Caenorhabditis elegans: one gene and its partner. The protein of the gene in region 1 purifies or fractionates together with the protein of each later gene. This does not show direct contact. Each region holds a gene or a part of one and is shown in the gene's direction. Other genes may lie near its edges.

Region 1 (9,866 bases):
AAAAGGTTTTATAAAGCCTCCTGGGGTAAACTCTGAAAATATTAAAATTTTGGAGTTAAAAATTCTTAGGAACAGACCCTTAGAATCATCATAATAACGCCTTAAAATGAAAAATAGAATTGAAAAAATAAGAACTACCAGAATAAAGTTTTGAGCAGGTTTATGCATTTTGTTTGTTAGAGTAGAATGGAAACCAAGAAAAGACTGTCGTGAAGGATATTGATGGCCGAACCAGATTTGCAAGCAAAGTTTTGATGAAACTGAGGAACAATGGTTTTATCTTGATCTACTTGTTATGAGCGTTTAGAAACAGGAAACCAACAATAAATTTGAGCGGTTCTGTTGATTTTTCAGATGTTCAAGTACATAATATATTAGGCTCGCAGGAACAATATTTTACCAATTCTTGGAAAGACAAAATGAGTTTTATGTAGAGTGTGTTTTTACACAACCCGTTTGTTTAAAGCGTTAGAAAAATGATAAGTAATTAGAAAATGATTATCTATATGTAAATGAATATATTATCATTTATTTATTAGCGGTACAAAATCCGTACTTGATTTTCACTCAGCTTTCGATTTTATCAAGCTGACATATTTATTATTTTTATTTTTTAACCATTAGAATACCCCATAAAAGTAAAACCCGTTTCACATTTGTACTTTGTTCAAAGTTTTATAACCTCCAACCAATATTTTTGTTGTGTGTTGCCTGGAAGAATTTATAAGCTGAATTTAGGAATGGCTTGTGAAAGTAGTAACTTCGAATTCTGACAGAAGTTTTTTTTTTCAGATCCAAGTTAAAAATTCTTTACCCTCTTCATATGTTTTCTTGCATTGTCTCTCTACTAATCTCAATTTCAGGTGATAATTATACACTTTACATGTCAATTGATTATTATGTATTTCTTATGACTATGTTTCTTTTTATATTGATTGCTTAATTTGATTATGTGTATGTGTTCTATTGGTATTTAATTTCTTACATGATTAACTAATCGTATCAAAATAAATAAATAAATAAAAATCAAACATCTTGTTGAACTTTAATATTTTCTTTTGCTTCACTTTATCGGTTTCATACTATGCAATAAAATTTTGACTCCGCATCGGAAATCATAAACCTTCGGTAGCCCGCACAAAAATTTCTTACATGCGACGTCTAACACTTTTACTTTCACTCTGTGCAGTTTCCGCAATTATTTTCAATGATGAAAATAACTACCGGAAGTACAGTTCATTTTCATCCTCATCAGAAGAGCGAATTTACAACGATGACAATCATGAAAGACCACAGGGAAGATGGTGTATGAAGGTTTGTTCTCAGGGTTTATTGTAGTAAAACGTGTGAACATAAACTTAAACTAAACAAAGGTAGAACATTCAAAAATCATGAAACTCAAAAGCTCATGATCATGAAACCCTTACACCTCCTATTATTGATCATTTGGGTTACTATTACTTTGGGAAATTTTAGAAATGAAAATCCTAGAAAAGTAATAAAAATTATTAAACACGTTGGTTCTTCGTCTTCTTATTCTTCGAGTTCTTCTGAAGAACGAAGTAAACGTAGGCATAAAAATTCACGCCTCACTCACAGTTCACGTTCACGCCCAACTCGTACCTGTCCGAGAGATTGGATCACTTTTGAGAGGCCTCAAGGCAGATGGTGTATGAAGGTAGTTTAAATTATAGATTTACCGTATGACTTGAACATTCACAAATCTGGTTTATACCGCAAATTAAATTTTACAGGCGTTCTACGGAAACATGTTCCAACCAGAGGCCGAGGCAAAGTGCAACGCAGTCGGAGCAAGACTCTCAGGGCTTCAGAATGCCAATGAAAGGATGACTATTTCTTGTAAGCTCAGAATTATATAAGCAAACTCTTTCTGATCCTGAAGATGTCCTCCGTGGTTTGATATACCAGCACGGTGGTGGAAGGTACACAGCATGGCTCGGCGGAAAAAGAAGAGCTCGCTGCCCAACCGGTACCTCATGTGCCCGACTGGACAGTATCGAGTGGACAGATGGGCATACGACGGGTACTGCTGGATTCTCAACTGGCCCTCGGGAACTCGACGGTTATTATTTACCACAATACGGGTTAGTGAAACTTCTGTTGGGATGTTGGACACGGCATTCAATAACCAAATCTTCAGAGGAGTTCAACAATGTTTGCATATGATTGTCACTCCATATTCGAATACCGAGCTAGGATTCGCAGACTTTGTTCATGAATCAGTGGATGATGAGTTTTGTCAAGCAACATGGGTTAAAGCATACGTCTGTGGAAAGTTGCCGAGCTAACTTAAATTATGTTTTTCTAAATTAAAGTTTTCCACTGTTATTGTTTAAATGGTTAATAATAAGTAAAATTTAGGCGCCATTGACCGAAAATATATGGAAAATGATTTTTATTTTGGTGGCCATGCAGGATACCTTTCTCTATGTTGCCTGATTTTTGTAAATCGCGTATCCAATAGATGTTCTTCGCCAGGAAATCGTCGGTGAGATTAAAATGAAGATATGAGACGGAACGAAACATGCGACTCCCAGAAATTCAAGTAGAATTTGCTGAGAAAAACTGAAATACTATGAGGACTATGTGTCCAAAACCATGCCTCAAAATCTGTAAGCTCCCGGTCATTGCACCCATATCTTGGAGTTACTGGCCCTGACGATGACTGCCTTCTGTTTTTGGAATTTGCAGGTTTTGATGAACGTACCTTGTTTAAAATAGTGTAAGATTCCACATTTAGAAGTGAATGGGTTGATGTACTATGTTTCCGAGTTGAGAGCTTTAGGGCCTGTGTGATGCATCATGCTGTGGATTCGGCTTTAGAACTTAAAAGGTTTCAGCTATCGAGTCAATACTTTTTTGAAACACCAATTTGTGTTTTTAGTTATTTTTATTTATCCGGAAGTTATTTGGTTTGTAAGTTTCGAAGTATTGCTCCCCGTAATAGCTGTGCGATTTTTCTCAATGTACTTCCTTTTATCTCTTTTTTCCATTAACCCAATGGTGTTTGATCATTTTCCACCCAACCGCAACATTCTAGGAGAAAATTGCAACATCGTGCCTAGTTGGAAGCGTTACGGAGATGACTATCTAAATTTTTTTTTTTAATAACAGTGTCCTGAAAAATTTTTTTTTTGTGTTTTTTCTTATATATTTTTTACTTAATTCATAGTAAAATCCTGAAAAACTGAACAGTTGTAGCTTTACGGCTGAGTTATTCCTCCTGCATTAGTGGATGGGGCGGTTTTCTGTGAAAATTTTTGACTTTGAAATCTTTAAGCTCCTTTCATTTTGTGCCCAGTTGTGCACAAATCCGAGCCATGTCAGTAAAGGTGTGAGTTTTTCACTAAAAATACACTTGAGCTACCCGCACAGCGTGAATCTCAAAGATCATTGATCTTATAATTTCCTTTGTCTTAACCGGGAATAAACCGGAATTCCAAAATAGACTCTACCAGCTTGAAGCTAAATATCCTTAGTTCAAAATGGTAAACCAACATTTTTCCAGCCGTGTCTTCTCTAATCGGATCATCTTGTCATGCCTGAAACACTAGTCGCAATTTTTTAAAGAGTTTTTGATTTTCGAGATAGGAAAACACCGTCCAGCTTTGCCATTCGATTTTTATGGATTTTATTCATAGTTTGAAGGCGATTTATTTCTTTATATGTTTCGTTTGAACCTTCTTCTACAGATTTGTTAACTTTTAGCATTAATTCTACTTAAGGAATCTTCTCAAGTGATTTTTGATTTATTTTTATGAATTAGATGAACCAAAGAAATTTGCCGCATCAGGTTTTCATATAGGCGTCTCACCTGCCTGTCTTATCTGTGCCAGCTTTCTAACTACAACTTTTAAAGGGAAATTTATTCGAATTCTTAAATATACTGTATCTGAAAATCATTCATAAAACTTCAATATTAATAATCAAATAAAACAGATAAGTTTGCGCAAGACATGTACATGAAATTGTTAAATAAAAGGGTGCCTACCGCAAAACCGTTTCCAATTTTTCTCAAAAGTTCAGGGCATCAAGCAGAAAATTTCCATAACATGATGGAGGTCTGATGCTATCTCAGTTTCTAACTGACGATTTTGAAAAATGTCCTGTTCAGGTTTCTAGCTTGGAAATGTTCCGATAAAGCAATGACACCGTTGTGGTAATTAGGAATATTTGCAGAGAAGTTGCTGGTATTGGTTTTTTTTGCTGTATCGCTGGGGACAAAAAACCGGAGGCGCCCAACTGCTATAGAACCTTCGTTTGAGAAGTTTATGATATTTATAAACTTTTCAGGAAACTCCGATATTGGTATCGGTTTCAGCTCAAAAAAAAACAATTACTCAACTGCTATTGGACCACCTGAAATTTTCCAATTTTTTGGAAAAAAAACCAGCATTTTAATGATAATATTTGACAAAAAGTTAGGCGGTAGATTTTTTTTGCTCTCTTGCTCCAAATTTTTAACCTGGAAAAGTTCAGAAACTTCCTAAATCGCACAGAAGTTGGGCGTACTGTAGGATTTCCTCAAAAATCTCAGAATTGGTCTTTTAATTTTTCGAACTAGATGAAAAAGAGCGATTAGCAATAAACCGGATCTCATGAATCTCGGAAACTCAAAATTTTTCGCTGGGTACCTCAATATTCCCACTCCGATCAGGCTTCTCCAACAAAACTGAACTTTCTTCGTTAGTACTCCTGCCTACTGTAATCCTATAGCAAATACCCTCTTAGAGCTTTTTTCCCGATTTTATTTTTTTTCCTGATTTTCAGGGATAAGCTAATCTAGATGCCAGCTTGTTTTGTTCGTCATTACGTATTTTTCGTAGTTTGTGGGTGTCCTATGCATTCTAAAGATCTTTCTTCTCGTTTTTATCGGGTTTTGGATTACATTTGAAAATTGAAGAATCGACAATATTGAGGTGGTATTGCTAATGGACCTACAAAAGTTCAAACCAAAACCTTCAAAACGGCAGGATCTTCAAGGAATTCGAGGGCTCGCTATTTTATCAGTACTTGGATTTCATTTCTTGCCCGGTACATTTCCGAATGGATATCTCGGAGTTGATCAGTAAGTTCCACTGAGTCTAAAACTTGGGTTTGACTGTTTCGTCTGACACATTTCTAGAATCTAAAACTGAAGCAACCTGAAGATCCTTTTGATCTTACAAAAAGCTGTTACAAGTAATCATTTCACTTTCCAGATTCTTCGTGCTCTCCGGCTTTCTCATGTGCATGCTGCTCAAACGAGCTGAAGACCAGTCCCCATTCTCTCTGATTACCTTGTTCTATTCCAAAAGATTCAAGCGAATACTTCCGCTTTATCTCCTCATCATCCTGATCTCTATGATTTTTCTCTATAACTTCTTTCCGGCTACCGCTATTGAAACCAACAGGTCTTCCGCAGTTATGTCATTGCTTTTCGTGTCCAATAAACCAATGACTATTGAAGAGGACTATTTTGAAATGGTTTTTATTATTTGTTGATCATCAAAAACTCCTCACTTCAGCTCGCCATCGCCGTGAACATTTTCACCCATACCTGGTCCCTATCCGTAGAGATTCAATTCTACCTTATTGTTCCCTCCATCTACATAATCGGAAACAAGATACCCCAGAAGCTTCAATATGGATATTATGGAGTCATAGGTGAGATTTGAGCTTCTGGACTTCACTTTTATGCTCAAATTTCAGGATTATTCTCAATTGGCTATTACTATTCCTCCCCAGCTACTGTGGCGTTTAACAGTGTGTTTGCTAGGATTTGGCAGTTTTTGATAGGTTCTAACGACTGTTGGTTACAGAGTTTCATATAAAATTTCAGGTATGCTAGTCTACGGAGCTTCGCAAGCTAAAATCTCAAGTGAAAGCTCATCAGTAGGCGATAAAGAACCACTACTAAGTGATGAAGAATCTCAAGATGTAGAGCGGAATCCCACCAATGTGAGCAAAGATATCATTGAGAAAACTTCAAGTTATATCCTAATTCTTACACTGGTTTTTATAACTACCTGTCCATTTTCGCTAAGTTCAGATTTTGGAAGGTACCTTTATTATAGGGATTCGTTATAAAAATTTATATATGTTTCAGACCACTCATCACAATTGGGACAGGGCTATTGATGCTTATCTCCAGTGGAAATCAATTTCTATCCAATAGAGTTTTAACTTATATCGGTGACATCTCATATTCACTTTATCTCATTCATTGGCCAATTTATGCATACTGGAAGCTTACCTACGGGGGTGATTCGTATTGTGAGTTGGGAAGTGGGAATTTTGATTTATATGGTTATATGGTGTTCTGTTGAAGCATATAACAGAACGACTAATACTTACAACTGCAATTCTATTTGACTTTCAGTACTAATTGTTGCCTTGGCTGCTTCCTGCATTCTTGCTGTCATTTCCTTCGAAGGATTCGAAAAGTGGTACCTTCACCTGTCTTTAACAAATATTGGGGTCTTAGTTGTCACCTTATTCCTCCTAAATGTGATTGTGATTAACAAGGACGATATCTTGGATCGCGTACACTTGAGGACCAACTCAAATAGAGATATTGTAACCAGTAACATGACAGTGGACGACGCGATTCGATTGAATTACCAGTGGACAGTGAGAGATTATGTGAACTTTTACACGCCAACTTGCAAGTATGCAGGAACGAAAAACTCAGAGAGGTGGTGCAGGCATACGGTAGGCAAAATTTTCGTTATGTGAACTACAGTACTACACTATATTTCAGGGCCTTCAAGACTCCGGCAAGTATAAAATGGTCATATTTGGCAATAGCTGGGCGGATAATCATGCCACGTTGTTCTATCAAGAATGCCACGCCAAGACAAAGAGTATCTTGCAAGGATGTTCATTTGGTAAATTTAAATTTAAATTCTTTACCCTACATGTCATCAATTTTAGGATGTGAACCTCTTTATCCATTTGAGATTAGCAAAAACTGTGAGCCAGCCTCTACGCTTTTTGAGCAGCAAATCAAGAATGAGCAGCCGGACTATGCGTTTTTGTTCACGAGATTTATGAATATAGGACATCCAATTCAAAAAACTATTGAGGAAGATCCAATCTACCTAATTATGAAAAAGAAGATGCTTGGTTTTATTTCAAATATCAAATATAAACTGTACATCCTGGATGCCATACCTCGAGTACACAGGGAAACGGTATCGAGAATAGCACCGTTGGTGAAAGAAGGCAAAGATTTAGCCGAAATTGATGTATGTTTTTTAGTGAATTTCTGAAATTGAACTGATACTTTTATTTTACAGACCCTCCTGAATGACTTTATTGATTATGAAGCAGCTCGGACTCGTCACGCACAACTCCTTAAAGATTGTCAGGGAAAATGTGCGCTCGTCGATTATCTCCCAGAATTCTACAATAATTCCACTAGAACATTCCGGTTTTTTGACGACAAAGGCTTCTCGTACCTGACTGAGGAGAACCACCTTTCACCGCATGGTTTAGAACATGTTAGACATGTTTGGACGGACATTTGTAATAATTTGTAAATCTTAGAATGCTGAAATTTTTATCAGAGCTTTAATTTTTCGGGTAATACAGGAAATGTCTAAAATAAACATTTTTATTTAGCTAACAAAAAAATGTTCTACTTAAATTTTCCAAAATATTCTTCCAACCACTTGTTAGTAGTCATTTTCCCACTATCATTTTAAATAACGAAAATAAAAAATCCTTATTCCAATCAAATCATCAAATTCTCCATGAGCATCTGCACCCGTGGCTCATCCTTATCACAAGTTGTTCCACAACAATAAACTATGAACAAATTATTATTTTTCTCCGTAACAAAGATACGTGGCGTTGATGATTCATTGGTAGCTGCAAACTTTGAGACGATGTTTGAGTTTACAGGTGTTGCCCTTAGAAAATCGATATCTCCAATAGAGAATTTGTCGGCAGAAGTTGATATTGATGTTAGAGAAGTAATAAGGTTCTGTAAAAATTGAAATATAGATTTTAAAATACAGATTTTTGTTTTAAATTAATTTCAGAATTACAGTACCACTGAACTACAAAAGTGGTGAGTTTCTGATTAAAATTTCAAAGAAAAATTGTGATTTTTTTTAAATATTTTCCAAGATGATTAGATTTATCTAATCCAAAATATAAATGGCTCGGTAATTTCCAGACAGATTGGAACTTATATTATTTTTACTCAACAATATAATATTCATAAATATTTTCCAAAAAATCATACCTGCTCCACCTGTCCCAAAGCGAATTTAACCTGAATCTCGCCGGAGCTTAAGAAAATCGCGAGCTTAAACGATGCGATATCATCAAATTGATATTGAATATAGTCTTCTAGGTCCTGAACAGTTTCGCACATAATATATATTTTTTGAGAAAAATGTAGAAATTATTCAGAAACTTTCAATTTTATGCCCGTGAAAATGATGATAATGACAAATATTTGATTGCAATAGTGATAAGGTGATAATTTTTAGTTTGGTGTTTTGTTAGGCAGGGGAAACTGAAAACTTGAATTTTTGGAAATACGCATTTTGTAGTTAAATGAATTTAGTTATTTGAGAGCTTTTTTTTGGAATAAAAATAATTTATCATAATTCCTGAAAGATAGGGAAAAAAAGCAAAATTCGTATTTCTTTGTTAGTTAACAATTTTTGCGTGAGGGAGCTACAAGAGTTTCAAATTAGGGACATCCCGGAGACGCAGACAGCTAGCGTGTCTTGTTGTCTGCGCGCACCCTCTCTCTCCCCCTTTCTTATCAGGGCTGTGTAGCAGATATTAGAATTTGCCGAGCTCGAAAAACCCCTAGCACCCCGTAATTATGAGCCACCCTGCCGCTGATCAGTTACAAGATTTTGTAGAAATAATTACCGTAATAAAACTCCGCAAAACCCCTCAATATATAAATCCACTATAATGATCAATGTTTCTTATTCATCATGCATTTTTTTGAAACTCATTGCATGTTTTTCGTTGTTAGTTCCAATTGCGACAGTTTTCTTACGTGGCGGCAGTAATCGGGGCAATTCCGATTCAAGTAGCTCATCATCAGAGGAAGGTTATTATGGAGGAAAGAAGCATCATGGGGGGCATCATGGGGGACATCATGGAAACCGTCCGCCACCTCGCCCAACGCCAAAGCCTTGTGACGACGATTGGCACGCATTTTACAGACCGCAAGGAGTTTGGTGTGTCCGGGTAAGATTTAATCTAACTAATTTTTCGTGATTCCTAGTACTGATTCCAGATAGTAGCAGCAACTCTGGACTATAATGGAGCTACGACGGCGTGTTCAAACCTCGGCGGTTCTCTTTCCGGTATTCAGAGCAATGAAGAACGCATTTGGATGGCCAATAAAAGTATGGAAATATTGACTGCAAATGGACAAACGGACTCTGGAACGTGGCTCGGCGCGAGTTGTACTATTCGTGGATGTGTCTGGACAGACTGGAACACTGTTGGCACTGAAGGGATGTTGTGGGCTCCTGGAGAGCCGGCTAATCTCTAGTGAGTTAAAGTTTCACTAGAAAATACGAAAAATTAATTTGCAGCTTTTCCCCACCATGCATATACATCTACTCATTAGCTGGTGCGACACTTTCACAGAAACCGCCAAATTCCAATGGATTCATTGATGACTCGTATTGCCGTGGGTATAAGACAATCAACTCCTATGCATGTGGAAAAGTTGGATTAAGAAATAATTAATTAATCTTACTTTTTTGGGTAAAAGTTATTATGTTTTTTTTTGAGTTCTGCAAACTGTTCCAAGACTCAATAAAAGAATAGTCAAGAGTACAATTACATAGAGTATGTGTACACAAAAAAAACAGAAAACT
Region 2 (8,036 bases), on another chromosome or scaffold:
GAATGGCTGAACAAGAAAATGAGGACTTGATTGAGAAAATTGGAAGGGAAGAAGAGGAGGAAGGCGCTGAAGAAGATGAGCAAAGCGGTGAAAAAGATCCAGAAGAAGAAGAGGATGATAGCAGCAATGCAGAAAGTTCAGAGGAATCAACTGCTCCACGTCAATACAGTCTTCGCCGCCGTCAACCAGTTGTCCAGTTCAATGCATCAGAAGCTCGTGAAAATCGACGGGCTCGTCTTGAACATCATCGGGTTGCAAATCAAAACAGACATCACCGCAATCGAAATGGATCTCGTCGAAGACGAAGCGATTCGGATTCTGATAGTGATGATATGGTGCTTCCGAGACCTGATAAACGTCAATCGAGGCCTCATATGCATAACCGTGGAGAACGTGAACGTGGTCGATTTATGCCGATCAATATGACCGAAAAAGAATTGCAGTCTGCCCAACACATTCTGATGGATCGAATGAGAAAAACTGATGCTGGTCAAGGTGCAAGTGACATTGATCCAATGAGTGTTGATTCGTCGGTTGGTTTCGATCAAGTTGGAGGACTCGGTCATCATATTCAATCTCTCAAAGAAGTTGTCCTTTTCCCAATGCTTTATCCTGAAGTATTTGAAAAGTTCAGAATAAATCCGCCAAAAGGTGTCGTATTCTATGGGCCCCCAGGAACCGGAAAAACTCTTGTTGCACGTGCTCTTGCGAATGAATGCCGAAGAGGAGCCAACAAAGTTGCATTCTTTATGCGAAAAGGAGCTGATTGTTTGAGTAAATGGGTCGGAGAGTCTGAAAGACAACTTCGACTATTGTTTGATCAAGCATATGCCATGCGTCCATCAATTATCTTTTTTGATGAAATCGATGGTTTAGCTCCAGTTCGTTCTTCGAAACAAGATCAAATTCATGCGAGCATAGTGAGTACATTGTTAGCACTGATGGACGGATTAGATGGTCGAGGAGAAGTTGTTGTAATTGGAGCTACAAATCGATTAGATACTCTTGATCCAGCTCTACGAAGACCAGGACGTTTTGATAGGGAACTCCGTTTTTCCCTTCCTGATTTGAATGCCCGACGACAAATTTTAGATATTCACACTTCCAAATGGGAGGAAAACAAACCGATTCCGGAAACACTCGATGCTATTGCAGAGAGAACTAGTGGATATTGCGGTGCCGATTTGAAATTCTTGTGCACAGAAGCAGTTCTTATTGGATTGAGATCTCGATATCCTCATATCTACATGTGTTCTGAAAGGCTGAAACTCGACGTTGCCACCATTAAAATCACTTCTGAGCATTTTGGACATGCAATGCGGAGGATCACACCTGCTTCCAGACGAGATCTTACAATTCCATCGAGACCATTGGATGAACGAACTTCAATTTTACTTGGAGATACTGTGAGCAACTTGATTTCGTTGAGAATTCCACAAGGATATCGATGCGTGGAAAATGCAATGGCGACAGCTTCAAGCGAACTGGAACAAGTTGTTAGGGCATTGGAACCTAATCCAACCGTGCCTGCTATTCGTCTTCTTCTATGTGGATCTGAGCAACTCGCGGACGGTGGACAAACGTCTTACGTTCTTCCCGCCATTCTAGCAAAACTGGATCATCTACCGGTGTTCTCTCTTTCTGTTTCAAGTCTTTTAACAGATGGACGTCCAGAAGAAGCATTTTCAAATGCAATTCAGTCGGCAATGCGTGCATCAGCAACCGGCCCATGTATCATGCTTCTTCCATCAATCGATGAATGGATTAAAGTCATTCCTGTATCAGTTCAACATATGCTTATCACATGTCTGGAATCAATGACTGGTTTCACGCCGATTCTTTTCCTATCGACGCTTGACACTTCGTTTGAAGATGCGCCTGAATATGTCACGGAAATTTTCAGACATGCAAACTGTATCACGTGAGTATAACTAGAAATGTGTTTTCAGAACATTTTTAAAATATAATAATTTTCAGTTTGAATCCTTCCCGCCGAACAATTCGTCAAAAATATTTCGAGCACGTTATTGAGAAGATTAACACTCCACCAAAAGTATTTGATCGTAAGTCTCAACGAAATACAATTTTTTAAAAATTTTAAATCCTTTGTCCATATTTCAGCAACAGTCTATGAGATGCCTCTACCAGATGACGATTCTCCCGATTCGAAGCCTTCTAGAAAGCTCAATGATGACGAGACAAGAGAACTTTTGAAGATGTACACTGCTTTGCAGCGACAAATGAGATTATTCTTCAAAGAGAGGCTCAGTGAGTTTTAATATTCCGCATGCTCAACCTCATTGAATATTTTCAGCACGTCTTATGCGAGATCGTCGATTCGTTGAATTTGTCGAGCCCGTGGATCCGGATGAGGCTGAGGACTATTATGAGATTATCGAAACACCGATTTGTATGCAGGATATTATGGAAAAGCTGAATAATTGCGAATATAATCATGCGGACAAATTTGTTGCTGACTTGATATTGATTCAAACGAATGCTCTCGAATATAATCCGTCGACAACAAAAGACGGAAAACTGATTCGTCAAATGGCAAATACACTTCGAGATGCAATTGATGATCTGATCGAGTGTGAACTTGACGAATCGTTTGTCGAACGAATTGAAACAGTTTCACGAATGCTACAAGACGCTGGAGTAACTCCAACCTCTGATAAATTACTCACAGAAATTCCCAAAGGTTTTGCCCGAAAAAAGGCGTGGTCTATGACCAATTCACTTGCAAAAGAAATTGAGCAATGGACATCAGAGCGTGAAGCTGAAAATCAAAAAATGTTGAGCAAGCTTGGTGTAGCTGCTCCAACATTGGAACTCGTTGTTGTCCCTGTAGAAGATATGAAAAGTGAAGAAGGAACGAGCACATCAACTGATGGAGTTCCAGCTTCTGCTGGAAATAAAAAGAAATTGCTCAAAAAGAAGAAGGGTCAAAAGAAAAGCAAAACCGGCGAATCTGAAGAGCACGATGAAGATAGTACAGTTGAAGACGCAGGAGAAGATACAATTGTAGAAAATCTTGAAATCAAGAAAAATCAGGAAACTCCAAACAGTGAACATGATATCGAGATGAAAGATGCTTCTAAAGATTCTACACCTTCCGTGCAAATTTCGATTGCTGAGAAAGAATTGATAGTTTCGAAGCCAGCAACATGCGAGCTGATTCAGTGTTGTGTCGAAAAGTCGGAGGGTTGGTCAGTCAGCGAGTTGGAACGTTTGTCTTCTGTTCTATCACATACAATTGAACGATTCCGGTGAGTTATATGATTTTTTATTACCTCGCTGTTCTTTTTGTTTGAACTAAAAGGAAATGTTAAGGATTTTTGGAACGTTTTAAAACATAGAAAACATTTATTATGAAGGTTGTTTATATTTTTGAAAATTTCAAAAATTGATAATTTCGTTATTTTGAAAAAAAATTGAAATTTTCAATAATTTCCGGTTAATTGAAAAAATTTCAATTCAATTGAAAAAATGCTCGTAATTTTCTGTACATTTCTTCGGCTTTTCCGTGATTTTCCTATTTTGATATTTTCGATATTCTCTGAAAAATCCCGAAAAAATTGTAGTCACAATGTAGAATAAAATAAACAATATTTATTTTTAACAATTAAATATTATTCAGGGACGAATGGAACCGCGAAAATCTACCAGCCCAACTTACCCAAATTGTACGTGAATGGCAAACAGCTGACGATTCGAACAATACAATTGTTAATGGAACCCTCAACAAATCGAATGGAAATCTTGCCAATGGACACTAAATGATGTCCCATCCTCCTCTTCCAATCTACCTCCGTTTATCGATTTTATAATTTCAAACTGAAATCCGTTTTATCATAATTTCCACCAGTTTTCCTCTTGTCAAAAACCCCTTTGTGCGAAAGAAAACTTTCAAAATAAGTGCGGCTACCGTGATACTCACCTATTTTTCTTTGTCCATTTTTATTCAAATTAAATCTCTACCATAATTAATTCCCCTCCAATTTATTCGAGTGAGCATTGCCTGCCTCTCGGGTGTATTCACGTGCCCTTCTATTATTTCATTAATCTTTTCCATTATCTTTAACCTGGTCTTTCGAAAATGAGTAAATTGTGAATCATTCGATGTTTAATGCTAATACCTATTTTTGTTTTAATGATCCGTTTAACTTCGGATATTTATATATTTTCGATTTTATTTTAAATTTATAATATATTCAATCATCTAAACTTTTTCTTTCAGATGGACTTTCAGAACAGAGCTGGAGGAAAAACGGGAAGCGGAGGAGTGGCTTCGGCCGCCGATGCTGGTGTTGATCGACGGGAACGGCTCCGCCAGTTGGCTCTAGAGACAATTGATCTTCAAAAGGATCCGTATTTCATGCGAAATCACATTGGAACGTACGAATGCAAGCTGTGTCTTACTCTTCACAACAATGAAGGATCTTATTTGGCACATACACAAGGAAAGAAGCATCAAGCGAATCTTGCACGGCGTGCCGCTAAAGAACAATCTGAACAACCATTTCTACCAGCTCCACAGAAAGCTGCAGTTGAAACTAAAAAGTTTGTGAAAATCGGACGTCCTGGATACAAGGTAACAAAAGAACGTGATCCAGGAGCTGGCCAGCAAGCACTTCTCTTCCAAATTGATTATCCGGAGATTGCTGACGGTATTGCGCCACGTCATCGATTTATGTCTGCTTATGAGCAAAAGATTCAGCCTCCAGACAAGAGATGGCAATACCTCTTGTTTGCTGCTGAGCCGTATGAAACGATTGGATTCAAAATTCCATCAAGGTGAGGCTTTACAACATTTTAGCACTTTTCTATCTCATAGTTACGATTAAAAAAATTGTATATACCAAGTAATTTTTTCCAGAGAAGTTGACAAATCTGAAAAATTTTGGACGATGTGGAACAAAGACACGAAGCAATTCTTCTTACAAGTCGCATTCAAATTGGAACGACTCGATGATCAGCCGTACTATTGATACTCTATGTTTTTATCTTTTTGATTTCAAAATTCAAAACAATTTTTTCGTGTTTTTCGATGATCTAACAATAAATTATTTTCCTTTTTTTTAATGATGATATTTTATTTAAATCAAGTATAGGTTGACTGATCCGTCTACAATGTCTATTCAATTAAAATTATAGTTTTCATAGTTTAAAAAATCAGTTTCAGATGGCGAAGAAGGTTGTCAAAAGAAAAGCTGAAGCAGTGTCCGCTGACGCAGAAGCCGTTGCAGAAGCTCCGAAGAAAATCAAGAAGCAGAAACCAAGTCTTCCAGTCTCTGAACCTGATAATTATCAGGCTGGTGGATTATCAAGTCTCTTCGGAAAGTCGTCAGAAGGAGCAGCAGTACAAGAGGAAGTTGTGAAGGGAGATAAAGTAATTGAAAAACCTAAAAGAAGAAAGTATGATCCAAAAAAAAAGGCTGAAGAAGAGAAGGCAGCTGATGCTGCTGCTGCTGCTGAAGAAGTTGCACCTGAAACAGAAGGAGAAGAGAAAAAAGATGAAAATAAGGAAGGAAAGCGAGACAGAACGAAGCAAAGAGAGAATAGAACTCTTCAAAAGTCAAATGCACGTGCTTCAGCTGCTGAAAATGCTCTGACTGTTTTTGTTGGAAATATGCCATTGACAATGAACGAGAAATCAGTCCGTCGAATTTTCTCCGACTTTGGAACTATTTCCTCTGTCCGTATGAGAAATCTGCTTCCTGCGAATGAGAAATTGACGAAACGAGTCACTCATTTGACAGGAAAATTGAATGACAAACAGAGTTCTCTCACGTTCTATGTGAAATTCGGAGCAGAAGAATCAGTGGAGAAAGCTCTGAAGTACAATGGAACCAAGCTGGACGATCATGTGATTCGTGTTGACAAAGTTGGAAGTAAGAAGAAAGAATTTGGAAAGGATATGGCCATTTTTGTTGGAAACTTGCCGTTCGAGATTACCGAAGATGCTCTCATTACTTTTTTCTCTGCACAAATCGGACCTGTCGAGGCTGTCAGAATTGTCAGAGATAAAGATACTGGAAAGGGAAAAGGATTCGCGTTTGTCAATTTCAAACAAGATTCTTCTGTGAGTCTTGCATTGAGCATGGAGACTATCAAAATGGAAAAACGCGACTTGCGCATTACAAAAGTTATGAAGAAGGGACATTTGACGGTTTGTTTTTTTTCTTCGAATAGTTCTTCAATTTATAATTTGTTTTTCAGAAGATCCAAACTGCTAAAAAGCGAACATCTCACGGAAAGAAGAACCAGAATGAAATTACTGGAAAATTGCACAAGTTCAAGTTCTCCACCAAAAAAGAAAGGTTTGTAAATATGTGGCATTTTGTCAAAGGGCCCGCGCGCGCAATGTCATTGCCCGGTTCTTCTCTATTTAAATCGTTCAGCGTAGCGCAGTTGGGTGTGCGTTTGTACTCGAGGTCGGCGCCCACGAGTTCGACCCCCACTGCTTGCACGACTGCAACCTGCTTTCGGAACTTTACCGTCTGCGGTACTTGTAGTGCTATATGAGCGTGGGCCCTCCGTGTGCGTGTAATTTAATTGAACTAGCACTCCGTTGGTCACCGGATAATTTTGTTTTTCTTTTCAGAACAACTGAGCAAAATGATCGTCGTGCCTTGAAGAAGTCAGCGAAGAAAGCCATTGCAAAGAAGAAGGCTGCAAAGAAGGGACGTCTGATGGCATAGGTTTTTGAATATTTTGTTTTCATCTATAACTTTGTTGATTTGTTTTGTTTTGTTATTTTTATCACTATAAAAACAGTTTTTTAAATCTAATATTTTATTCATCAAACAAAAAACTATCACAGAGAAAAATACAATAAATGCAAAAATTACTCACAGAGAGGGAAGAAGGCAATAAATGAAAAACACCCATGAAGAACAAGGAAGCAAAATGAAGCGAAAGAAAACATAAACGAGAGTAGTCGAAACTAGAGATCCAAGAAATACATAATTAATGAATGTTAATAAAAAAGGAACCCAAAAATCTATTTATGCCATTGATTCTTTGTCCATGGCTGGTTTTGAAGAATGTACATTTGATACAGGGGGCGGAGCAACTACAGTAACCTCAGTCGGCTCATCATCGTCACCATCGTCCCAGTTTCCGTAGCTGGCAACTTCTGCTGTTCGAGTCTTGTTCAATCGATCGTTCAACTCTTTCAATGCTTTTTGTCTGAAAAAATTAGCATTTTAACTGGAACAAATCAAAGAAATCAAATATTTACCTCCGTCTCTCCGAGTCTTTTGCAGAATTCTCCAGCGCAGGCAAGTTGATTCCAACGGATCCTGATTGTAGAGAGTGAAGATCAACATGACGAACTTGTCGTTTGCAGACGCCCATTCGAGCAAGGGTTCTGAAGCAAACTTTTCCAATGAGAGTGAAGAAGAGTTGAGTGCGAGACGGGAAGAGGCTGGCCCACGTGAAGTGCTCACTGCCGTCTCCATAGATTTCGTCAGTTTCATGGGGTTTGTAGAAGCGAAGATAGGTCCAAGAAACTTGAACACCGATGGTGATTTGGAGAAATGACACCTAAATCAAGAAAAATTAAATTATTCCATTTGATTTTATAGAAACTTACAAAGTAAGTAAATTTGGTGAGAGCTAGAATAAATGAGACAAATATGGCCAAGAATGGAAGGTGAGCATATTTAATACGTCCAAGTGGTGTTGCCAGGACAATGGTGTCAGGAAGAAACTGAAAAGAGCCATTATTAAATATTCAGTTTCTTTCAGATTCATGTGTTTGCCCACCTGCTTCATGAGAACCATAACCGACGCACAAATCGGAGTCATACCAACAAGTGGTTCAATGTAGAAAAATTTGATAGAATCGAATAAAATGTAGGTGAGATATGCGAAGACTACGATGACAAAAGTGGTAACACCCTGAGTAATTGCATAAAGCTTCAGAAGAGACTCATTTGTATTGTTGAGACGGACGAGATTCGTTCCGAAATGAAGACACCAGACTGTCCACAGAACGTCGAGTACATTGTGACCGCAGAATGTGCTTG

The links.
Region 2: the proteins of oac-17 (region 1) and repo-1 fractionate together in Caenorhabditis elegans (co-fractionation; one large-scale study listed by BioGRID). This does not show direct contact.

Annotation. Positions count from the first base shown.
Region 1 is NC_003279.8:13,189,661-13,199,526, reverse strand, and holds oac-17 (Acyl_transf_3 domain-containing protein), read left to right. Parts: upstream 1-4,881; 5' UTR 4,882-4,952; coding exon 4,953-5,089; intron 5,090-5,222; coding exon 5,223-5,487; intron 5,488-5,528; coding exon 5,529-5,667; exon of another isoform or gene 5,668-5,712; coding exon 5,713-5,799; intron 5,800-5,842; coding exon 5,843-6,062; intron 6,063-6,109; coding exon 6,110-6,276; intron 6,277-6,382; coding exon 6,383-6,714; intron 6,715-6,763; coding exon 6,764-6,890; intron 6,891-6,936; coding exon 6,937-7,250; intron 7,251-7,301; coding exon 7,302-7,544; 3' UTR 7,545-7,625; downstream 7,626-9,866. Other genes in the region: F17B5.4 (sulfotransferase family protein), read right to left, coding at 1-32, 78-168; clec-109 (C-type lectin domain-containing protein), read left to right, coding at 1,415-1,678, 1,755-1,860, 1,904-2,105, 2,162-2,309; F17B5.8 (Fuz_longin_1 domain-containing protein), read right to left, coding at 7,739-7,990, 8,255-8,386; F17B5.10 (C-type lectin domain-containing protein), read left to right, coding at 8,944-9,225, 9,275-9,534, 9,579-9,735.
Region 2 is NC_003282.8:12,080,238-12,088,273, forward strand, and holds repo-1 (Splicing factor 3A subunit 2), read left to right. Parts: upstream 1-4,240; coding exon 4,241-4,797; intron 4,798-4,879; coding exon 4,880-4,991; 3' UTR 4,992-5,083; downstream 5,084-8,036. Other genes in the region: lex-1 (Tat-binding homolog 7), read left to right, coding at 1-1,921, 1,978-2,063, 2,122-2,268, 2,315-3,269, 3,641-3,779; rbm-34 (RRM domain-containing protein), read left to right, coding at 5,186-6,172, 6,223-6,323, 6,608-6,704; F11A10.6 (Transmembrane protein 115), read right to left, coding at 7,011-7,194, 7,247-7,551, 7,601-7,717, 7,774-8,036.